2 linked regions of the Drosophila melanogaster genome follow. The protein of the gene in region 2 interacts with the protein of the main gene of each other region in a pairwise test. Each region holds a gene or a part of one and is shown on either strand. Other genes may lie near its edges.

What was found.
Region 1: the proteins of mgl (region 2) and ReepB interact in a two-hybrid assay, tested with the Drosophila melanogaster proteins (one large-scale study listed by BioGRID).

What each region holds. Positions count from the first base shown.
Region 1 is NT_033778.4:14,168,435-14,173,498, reverse strand, and holds ReepB (receptor expression enhancing protein B), read right to left. Parts: upstream 3,038-5,064; 5' UTR 2,919-3,037; coding exon 2,777-2,918; exon of another isoform or gene 2,582-2,776; intron 2,340-2,581; exon of another isoform or gene 2,136-2,339; coding exon of another isoform or gene 2,048-2,135; intron 1,711-2,047; exon of another isoform or gene 1,340-1,710; coding exon of another isoform or gene 1,273-1,339; intron 1,210-1,272; coding exon 977-1,209; intron 916-976; coding exon 816-915; intron 753-815; coding exon 691-752; 3' UTR 501-690; downstream 1-500. Other genes in the region: mRpS16 (mitochondrial ribosomal protein S16), read left to right, coding at 14-130, 196-468; CG18324 (uncharacterized protein), read right to left, coding at 3,390-3,929, 3,977-4,112, 4,396-4,643.
Region 2 is NC_004354.4:9,497,008-9,502,133, reverse strand, and holds the start of mgl (megalin), read left to right. Parts: upstream 1-2,004; 5' UTR 2,005-2,260; intron 2,261-5,126.

The sequences.
Region 1 (5,064 bases), on a different chromosome or scaffold from region 2:
ATAAAATATCGGGATGTCTCTATCGCCAGCCAGTGGCATTGGTCGTTTCTACGCCAAGTCGGCAAAAATCATACGTTTCGTACGCCTGGGATGCACCAATCGGCCTTTTTATCACATTGTCGTCATGGAGGTGCGTACTTTTAGGCCATTAAAATGGTTAAAACTTTTAATTGGTAATTGTATTTTCCGGTTTAGAGGCGCAAGAACCAGCACCAGCCTGTCATCGAGCAGGTGGGCTCCTTTGATCCCCTGCCCAACGATTACAACGAACGACTGGTGGCCCTGAACACGGAGAGAATTCGCTATTGGCTGGGCAAAGGTGCACACTTGTCCACGCCGGCTGCAGAACTCCTGGGAATTGCCGGACTACTGCCCATCCACCCGCGCACCTACATGACCGCCTGGCGGAACCGGAGGACAGCTGCTGAAGCGGAGGCGTCGCCAGAAAAGGCGGAATCAACCGCATAAATATAGTTGTGCCTCAATAAAAGCCTCCTTTTCGTTTTTACGTTTAACAAACGGAGATTTCTTCTGGTTCAGCGAACACTGGTGCTCTTATCAACAACAAAATGAATACAGAATTAAAATTTATTGCAAAACGTAACCAATACGAGGTGAGGTTGGTGACCAGGCCCAAAACCAAATGCATGGATAAGCGAGAAGCGGTCGGAGCTACGGTACATTCGCCTTCTAGTCATGCTTCAGCACTCCAGCGGCTTTCTTCATGCCATCATCGATGATCCTGTCAACGGCTGTGTGCAAATATTGATCTCCTTTTAGTAAAATTGCAATATCTAAGAGGTGAATTTACTCACATTCGTGATGTTTCAGGAAGTAGGGTCGCACCAGCTTGTTGTAGATGATGGTAGAACCATTCTGTTCCGTGGGCAGCATGCACCAGATGAGGAAAGCACACTACATGTGGAGTTGAAGCATTTAAAAGAAGATTCTTATATGTGAAGAATGCAAAGCTCACCTTCAGCAGCCAGTAAAAGGGAATCACCGAAGTTAGCAGACTCGAAAAGAATTCAATCACGGTGAAGATTCCAAACGTGACCCAGTAGATCAGCCACTTGGTGTCGTCCTGCTTTGTGCTGGACTCGATGGCATGGATGGAAATATATGCAGGGTACAGAACCCCAATGATGTTGCACAGTAGTTGGGCGCCCCAGCCAAAGATCAGGTAGATGGCGCACAGACCAACAGCACCTACATATGATGAAATATAATACCTTATTAGTAAATAGCATTAAGTCACTGCTGGAGCTCTACCGTAGCGCAGGAGGGGGTTCTCTACGAACAGTTGGACAATTTTGCTCTCTAATTCCTCGACTGCCATGTTCGCCATCTAGTTGGTCAATTGATATTGCCCTAGTGGCGCATTTTCCCTTATGGCTATAAGCAGGTCCAAGGGCAGGAGCGGTTCCACAGGGCGCAGGGTGATCAGATGGAGTTAACACTTACAAACTTTAGCTACAAGACTAACTGTTCCAAGGGCACAGTGCCAGGTGCTCGTACAGCTTTCAAGGGCGCCCCTTCGTGGATCCCTGGGGTTTTTAAACCGCCCCATGCCGTTGGCTAATTATAAACCCTTAGCTGTTGTCAGTAGATGTCTCGACCTGCCTCTGATCCCGGCCAGTTGCATTTTGCCCACCCAGATGAGCGGACTACGGCCTGTTGTTTTGCCATAAATTTATGATGTCATTCATGCTCGATGGCGGCTAATTATATTTATACCCTGGCTGAGGGTACTTTAATTTGAGCAACATCATTGCAAAAAGGTGGGTTTCATTACAAGCCACAGAAACTATATCCTTAGTCGATCAGATCATTTGATGTGAATTGCGAATTCTCCATAAATGGTTGTTCCCTAATATGCATATATTTGTTTACACAATTTGTTTTGATTATTAAAGTATGCCGAACTGTTGAACAGCTAATGAGGCCAAATGTTTGTATGATGAATCAACGTCCGTCATTTTTGCAAGTGTATATAGACTTCGGTTTTGAAAGATAGCTACTTTTGCCATTATGACCACATTCTCACCTATGCCGAGGTAAACCAAGGGAACTCTGACATTGCGCCGCGTCTCCTGTCGCTGTCTGATTAGCATAATATAGTCCCAGAGCCACATCGGTAACTCCGGTGAGCACCGAACGAACGAACTGAAAGCTCTACCAACGCACACAGGTGAGTGAGTAGATTGGCTCCACGTGTGCCGACAGCGCCACGTCTCAATAATTCAGACCTTTTGACCCCGCCGAACTGGACTTTCTCCAGATCTTCGTCTAGAGAATATGGCAATGGAATGCGCCAAATGTATTGCTCACCGCGTACTGGGCAAAAAAAAGTGTACTTTCGTTGAAGTAAACAAAGAAAAGCACAAAACATGAAACTTTTGTGGATAACAGACGCACACATCGCCAGCTGTCTACGTAGTCGCTTACACGCACACATCGCATGCTCACAAACTGAGGTGTATTGGTTGCAGGCACTCGGTGATAATATAGACACACTATTTAATTGGGCTTTGCCGTTTAAGTCGTCTGTTTAATTCGTTAATTGGTCACCTGGCGGCTATTAAGCCCCCCCGACCATCCTGATTCAGCCACATACACATTGCTATATATAACAGGTTGCTATTTATAAGCATCCCGAAATATTCCACTGCATCTCTAGGCTAATCTCAATGGTTACGCAGTCAACTAGCAGAAGGTTACATGGGCGTTTCGGCGAAGGACATGCGATGACGTCGCCAGGATATTCCACACTCACCCACGAAAATATTGACCCGGTCCACGCCGGTCTTCTCCTCCACGGTATCGAAGACTTTGGTCCACGGCTTGGAAGCATCGCGCAGCGATTTGCTCACGTCATCCTTGTAGCCGTTTAAGAACTGCTTCACCTGAGTGGCCATTTTGCGCAAATTGTTTTTAAATATATATAGTCAATCAAAAATATGTGACGCCGCCGACTTTCCAGATGCCAGTCGATAGTTTGTGCTTGCGCCTATCGGTGCCAAATGGACTATTGACAATCGAAGACATGATGCGTTATTGTTCGCATCTATCGCCGCCTATCGATAAGGAGAGGTCATACTAAAATTGCAATACTGGCGGCTTTTTCTTTTTCACAGTAAATATTTGCAAACAGCAAATAATTATTTTAAGCTTTTATTAGAAAGGTAAATATGTTATGCAGCAAATTACATAAGAAAAAAAACTTATAGCAGTTGACGTGCATTCAATGGTAAACTCATGGGATCATTTTTGATGAACAATTTTATTATTTATAAAATTATAAATTTTAGGATTGTCACATCGTGGGACTTAACAATTGTATGCGAGGATTTACAGTAATCTAGTTGGCTCCATGAGGACTGGACTCTTCAGTTTCTGCGCTGGGAGAAAACATAACGATCTCGCAAATGGAGCAACTTTTCAAAAAACACAAATGTCAAGGTGGTGTGTGGAGCACTACGAAAGTATATGGGCCAAAAGCCCTTGTACATCCCATGGATCCCTTCGGTTCTCCAGATTTTAGTGAAACAGTCCACCAAGCCCTTGTACATGAGTCCACGCCCCTTTTCATCCACTGGCTGGTTGTACATCCGTGTGGTGAGCACATCAAAGGGCGAATTGGCCACTGCCACAAGGGTTCCCGACGATAGGCCGGCACAGAAGGAGAGGAGAACCGGATGGGTGATCCAGCCTTTATCCTTCAGAAGGGACTTGGCTTTGGGAAAGGTGCCGATCTGTACACTGGAGGCCACAAGCGTTCGGTTCAAGCTTGGTAAAGCAGCGCGCCAGAATCCTGAAATGCCATTGGTCCGGTAAATATGCAGCAGGGCATCCATCATCGAAGTATGCTTGTGCTGAAAGCCTACGGCAATGGACTGAACCGCCTGGGCATGCTGTTGGGCCTTTATCTGTAATGGAGGGAGATCAGATGGGAAGCTCTAGCGGATCTACTCACCATGTAGAAGGGGCTGGCGAAATAGGTGCCCGTGCAGCCGCCCAGAGCTCCAAAGAACATGCCCCGATAGAAGGATATGGAGCCATCCGCATTCTGCAAGTATCCCAGCTCCAATGCGTTCGAATATACACTTAGCCTACCATAAGGAAAGGGTATTTACACTGCAATTTGCTTAGGGTAACTATTTTCAATGATGAACGTAACGACTTATCTTAAATGTCCATTACTTCACAGTGTTAGATAAGATAAGCATGCATTTCACATTAATTCATGGTGCTTGTAATTACACTACTTAGCATTGCATAATTTTACGGCCACTTTTATATAAACTTTGTTTAAATCTACCTCTAATATTCGTATAAAGTTCAAAGATTTTGATGTTTATGGATGGCAACAAGTGTCCTTTACAATGCACTTGCCTGACCGAGTTGAGGACAAATTGATAACATAATGCCGGAGCGAGACCCTTCTCCAAAGCAAGGAGTCCGTCGTTGAGGACTATCTGCAGCATGGCCTGGGGGAGATGCCTGTAGGGCTTCACATAGGTTCCTCGGGCAGCCAACTCTCCCTGCAGCTGCATCCGCGTCTTGACCACATCGATGGGATTGGTGAACACCACCGCACCCATCGCTGCCGTTCCGCCCAGCACGAAATCCGACTTGGTCATGTTTTCACCCCAAACTTTGGATTTGGTTGATCTTACGTTAACATTTTGTTTACTCTTTGGTCGACAGACCGATTGTTACATTTATCGAATTAATGGCATACATTTTAATGCTTTAATGATTTAAATGCTCACTTGGCGGAATAATTTAAATATTTGAACTCTTGTATTTGGTGTTTAAAAATTAAAATTCGCTTAAGAAAGAAATTAGTATTTGTAATTAATGAATTTTTTATTCAAAAATATTGGTAAAATTCTTATTGAATTATTAATTAGTGACCAAAACAAATAAATCACTTTGAGAAAAGGTCATAATACATTTATTATTGCTTGTTAAATATCAACATTAATTTATCGATAGTTACACGTATGGATATCGATAATTTCGCGGACGGTTAAGAATGGATTATAAGGACTTTACTTA
Region 2 (5,126 bases):
AACTTAGGAAATGTTATGGTTGGTGGGGAATTTCTTGAAATAAAAACTTTATTATTTTTGATATAATATTTAAACATATTTTGATGTATTGGCTTAAGTTAATAAGTTCGCATATAATTTGTGTAAGCCAGTCATTTATTTGAATTGCGATCAAGTGTGCAACCTTGGCGCACTGCCCCCCACTCGAGAACATGCTCTACGGCTGTTTAAACTTTGGAGATGGTTAATAAATTTATTTTGTTTATTTTCGGCCGGGTCACGCTTTCCCCAAATGACCCTCGTCATAAAACGCGCGAGAATCTCTGGGTAAATATAAATATAAGAATTGCACGCTTTGGTTTTTGTGCATGAAAAGTTTACTTCGCATTTCGGTTTCGGCCAATTGTTTTTCTTGGCCCTATCACCTTTCACTGCGAAATATGTCTAAACGAGAATGTTTTGTGAATCCATTAAGACGCAATAGAGAATTTTCCTATAGCTCGTAGAGCGTTCGGTGATGTCTCCGCAGCACTGGATTGGAAATGTATATATCTTTCTACTTGGCCACCTGATAGGCGAAACAGCTTTTCCCCTTCGAAAATCTCAAATTGTTCAATTCCGCTTCCAAGAATGCGGAACGGCCAGCAGGCGGTCAGGCAAAAGTTTTTAGGAGCCGAAACAGCTGTTCATTTGGCTGGTGACTGACTTGCTCTGCAATTAAAGCGATTTTTTTCGCGGAAGAAGGCCCTATTCGAATAGTTTGGATACACTCGAATTCTTGGGAGTAAATATTGAAGAACTTCTTCAAAATTCTCCTGCTCAGTTCTAAAACCAAAACAATGGGATTTACTTAGGTTCCGTTTCATATGTGTGTGAGTGTAAGCTTGTACTTGAGAACAAGTGCGTTTATTTTTAGCCGAGTATTGAATTAATTTTCGTACGGACTTGTAAAGGAGCTTACATTATTTTCGTAGAGCAACCTGGCAACCTGTTGAAGGGGCTTGCAACTCGAACCGCGTTCGCTGCCAGCATCGAGCACGTTGCACGTGGCAAGCAGCAATTGTGTGTTTACTCAATATTCTCGGCGTGCCGCAGATTGTGCCTTCCAGAAAGCAAAATAAACAAATAAAAGTTCCATGAAAAGGTATCATTTGTCAAGCGACAGCCGACAAATGAATACACATATGCATGTATGTATGTATGTATGTATGTCCTATGTACCCAACGACTTAGCGGCTTAAGTAGCTGCTCTAAATAATAAATTCAATTGTAATCAGAATCGTTTATGTAAATATTCAAATCGTCAATTTACCCGGACAGAGAGTGAGATAGAGAGAGTGTAAGAGTGTGACGTGGGGGGGGGGGGGGGTGGAATTGTCCTCCAATAATCCGCGAGGCAAGCAAAAGTCTGGGAGGGGGGGGGGTGGCAGGTGTAGATAAGCACCCCATTAAGACAACAATAAGCTCAACAAGTTGTTCTGGAAAACTGTCAATTAGAACCACCAACACGCACTGTGGCAGCAACAATTGTTCGAATGAAAACACAACATGCTGCATGTTGCACGCTCGAACATAGCCTTGCCATGGAATCGATGTTGCATCAGAGGTGTAGATGGGGGCTATTAGGAATTGCAGCGTAACTAAATAGTATTAGAACTTAAACGCAGAGCAGAGAACAAAGAAATGTGCACTCCGAAGCTGCGGAGTTCTCAAATAAAATGAAGCTAGCATTTTAGTAGAACTATTACTTGCTATTAAGTATGTACAATAATCTCAATAATAAGAACTAAATAATAATAATGAATTGGTTTGATGATGAAGCAAGCTCCTTGGGCAGTCATGAGCATACCAATGCAATTCTTTCGCTCTCGAAAGCGGCGCCTCTGTTTGAAGTCGCACTGCCTGTGAGTAGCGGCTGCAACGCAACATGTTCGATGGTTCGATGGTTCGAAGGTTCGATGCCTTCGGTTTTGGTTGGGCGGCGAGTGGGCTGCGCTAGCATCCGCTGGTCAGTCGCTCGCGGAGCGTCGTCGTGAACGGTCAGCCAGCGCGGCTAATAAGTAACCAACTGTAGTGACAGTGCGATAGTGACTCTGATCCGAACCCGAATCCCAGGCCCACAACAGATACGTCCAGCGTGTGGGCAGCCAGAACAGAGTGACAAGAATATCGGAGCCGACAACAACAGTAAACTGAAAGATAGAAAGAAAGAAAGAAAGGCCAACCTGCCGATTAAATTCCAATTGAGTGTTACGAGTTTTTTTTTCGAGTGAGTGCGGCGGTAAATATTTCGATCTTCTTCCCTTTTTTTTTTTTTTGCTGTGCCACCAACAGAAACCGAAAAATGCAAAAATTAAAAACCAATCAGTGAAAATCGCCAAAATTGCCAAAATATCAAATAGAAAAATATGGAAAATAGTTGAATCGAAGAAACGCAGACCGCAAAAATTTATAGAAAGAAAACAAACACACAACACACACACAAAGAAAAAACAAAAGGGGCAGACAGAAAGAAAGCGCTTTTATTATTTTATTTAACGATTTTTCTTCTTGCAATTTTTATTTTGCACACTTTGTTGTTGGGTCAGTCAGTTGGCGGCTTTCGCCACTTTACGAGCAACTTCCTTTTTTGGCCGGAGAAAAACCAGTCTGGCCAAGAGACCAAAAGACCCCTGGCCAAAAGACGTCGGTCGGTGGGCACCAAACACTGCGAATGTAAACAAAACAGCAGCAAACCGTATTTGTTTATGACTCGGCTTGGCCAGGATAAAGCCCAGAGACTTTGAGACCAACTAAATCCCACACCCCCAACCGCCAATCCCGCCCTCACCAAAAATATGATTTGCTAGCATTTCCCCCCATTCCCCGGCCGAGATTCTCAAGTGCGAGAGTTGCAAAAAAAAATGTGGTCCCCCCTCCCCCCTTTTATTGCCGCACCGCGTTGAAACGACACCCGGTGAAAGTTTCCCAGTCGCAACTTAGAACTCTCTTCATTTTCGGGTTTCTTTATTTTTTGCTTGATAAATGAGTCGCTGGCATAGCCCCCGGGGCGGTAAATCATCTCTGCTTGTGGCACTGACAATTTCACAAATTTATATATTTGCCACAACAACCGACCGAAACACTCACAGTCGAAAGTTTTCCACTTCGAGTGCAAATTTGACTGGCTTGGAAAAGTCCAGGCGAGCAAATTGGCCAGAGGTGTTGCCAACGAAAAAAAAAAAAAAAAATGAATTGGTAACGAAAACAATTGACGAAATCGGAAGTGACAGCATGATAGTTCAAGTTCAAACACGCATAATAACTTCATTGAAAACTGTAAACTTGAGAGTAAACAATAGTTTTCAAAGATTTCACGAAGTGTCTTCAGTTCAGCATATTAAATATACCCAAATACGGTTTCAAATTGACATAGATTAGTAATTTAACATAGGAACAGTTAAAAAAGTTAACCAGCTGGTGTGATAATATCTATGAAATTGTTGGTTTCTGGAACTTGAGAGATTCGCAAGTTCTAGCAAGCAGCGGTTGTTAATGCATATGAATACGAGACATCGAGCAATTTCGAAGATATTCCACGCCAGTTATCGCCCCCCCCGCCAGTAACTGGAGGCCAGCTCTAGCTCCCATTTTTAACTGGTTACCCCGCTCGAGAATTCACCATGTCGGCTCTCGGTTTTTTCCTTCGCTTTTCGCTTACTCCACACAACACAAATCGAATTGAATGGCAATCTGGAATATGCCAGGCAGATCCAATTGCATGCCACATATGCAGATGTAATGGGAGAGTTGGCCCACTCGCCACCCCCTTGTAAGCCCCCATCGAAACACCAACACACCCCCCCCCCCCCGGCCGCTTACAAAAATTAAGCCCCCTTAGCCGCCCCGCCAACTGTACCGCTGATCTGCTTGCCTCATTGCCGGTTAGAAAGCCAATGGAACGAGTTTCGTTGAGTGTGCAACTAATTTTCTAAATTGTTGTCGCTGCTGATCGTTGAGCGTGGCAAAAAAAAAGTAAATAAATAAAAAATACACACATTATTTATATGGCCAACGTCGCACAAAGAAATTATCTGTCACCAACATTGGTCATCAATTTTGATGGGTTTTCGGCGTCTAGAATAAGCCCTTTTATCACTGACGTTTTAATCAGATCTCTTCTTCAGAAGTATACAAAATCACGGTATGATCTTGCTTGAAGATGATTTCATTTTGCTAAAACGTGTTTTAATTCACTTTTAAATCATGAATCATAAATATAGGTATTTATGTGACTATTTTATATAGGGTAATACGATAATACAGAATCGTATATACGTACGTACTTTTGTAAAATAAAAAAAATTTAAAAACGGAATAATAAAATGTATATTTATGGAAATTTTTGAACGATGGCATATTTAAATAGATAAATAATTATGAGAGTGTGGGTGATAAGGCAAAGATTTTAGATTCAAAACCATCCATTCATCATTGCGAAGATCGAACTGTCATTTTTGCGATTGATTGATTGAATTTTAATAAAAGTCTTTGAAGTCGGACTTATTTATTATTTTTTTTTTTTATTGGGTTTTTCTTCTCTTGCGAGTGCGTCGTCATCATTTAATGGTGAAGATAGAAGAAGAATTATCCGAGCCCATAGAAGGCGAAGAAGAGGAAGAAGACAGGGCTAAAGAGACAGAGCGAGAAAGAGAGTAGGAGAAAGGGAGAGAGGGATAGAGAAATGTTAATGGATTAGGAAGCGAGCTCAAAAGGCAGCGTAGAAGAAGAATCGAATCTCGGCTACTTGCGACATTAGCCCTCTCCCTCCCACTCCCGCCCGATGAAGGCGGGCGCGAAAGAGAGGGGACGAGAGGGAGAGCGAGAGCGGAATTGAATGGCCAAAGGAAAGGTGAAAAGAGGCAACTTGGCTTAGACGATGATGATGACTGTTTCTTCTGTTTGTGTACGTATGTGTGTGTGTGTGTGCGGACAAACAGGTATCACGCACACACCTACAGACACACTCACACCTGTGCGGAATAACTAAGCAGCGACCCGATTTTCAACAGAGAGCCAGTGAGAGAGATAAGAAGAGAAGAAACAGAGCCAAGAATCCGATCCATGCCATGCGCCTAAAACTATTACAAATCTATAACAAATCTACC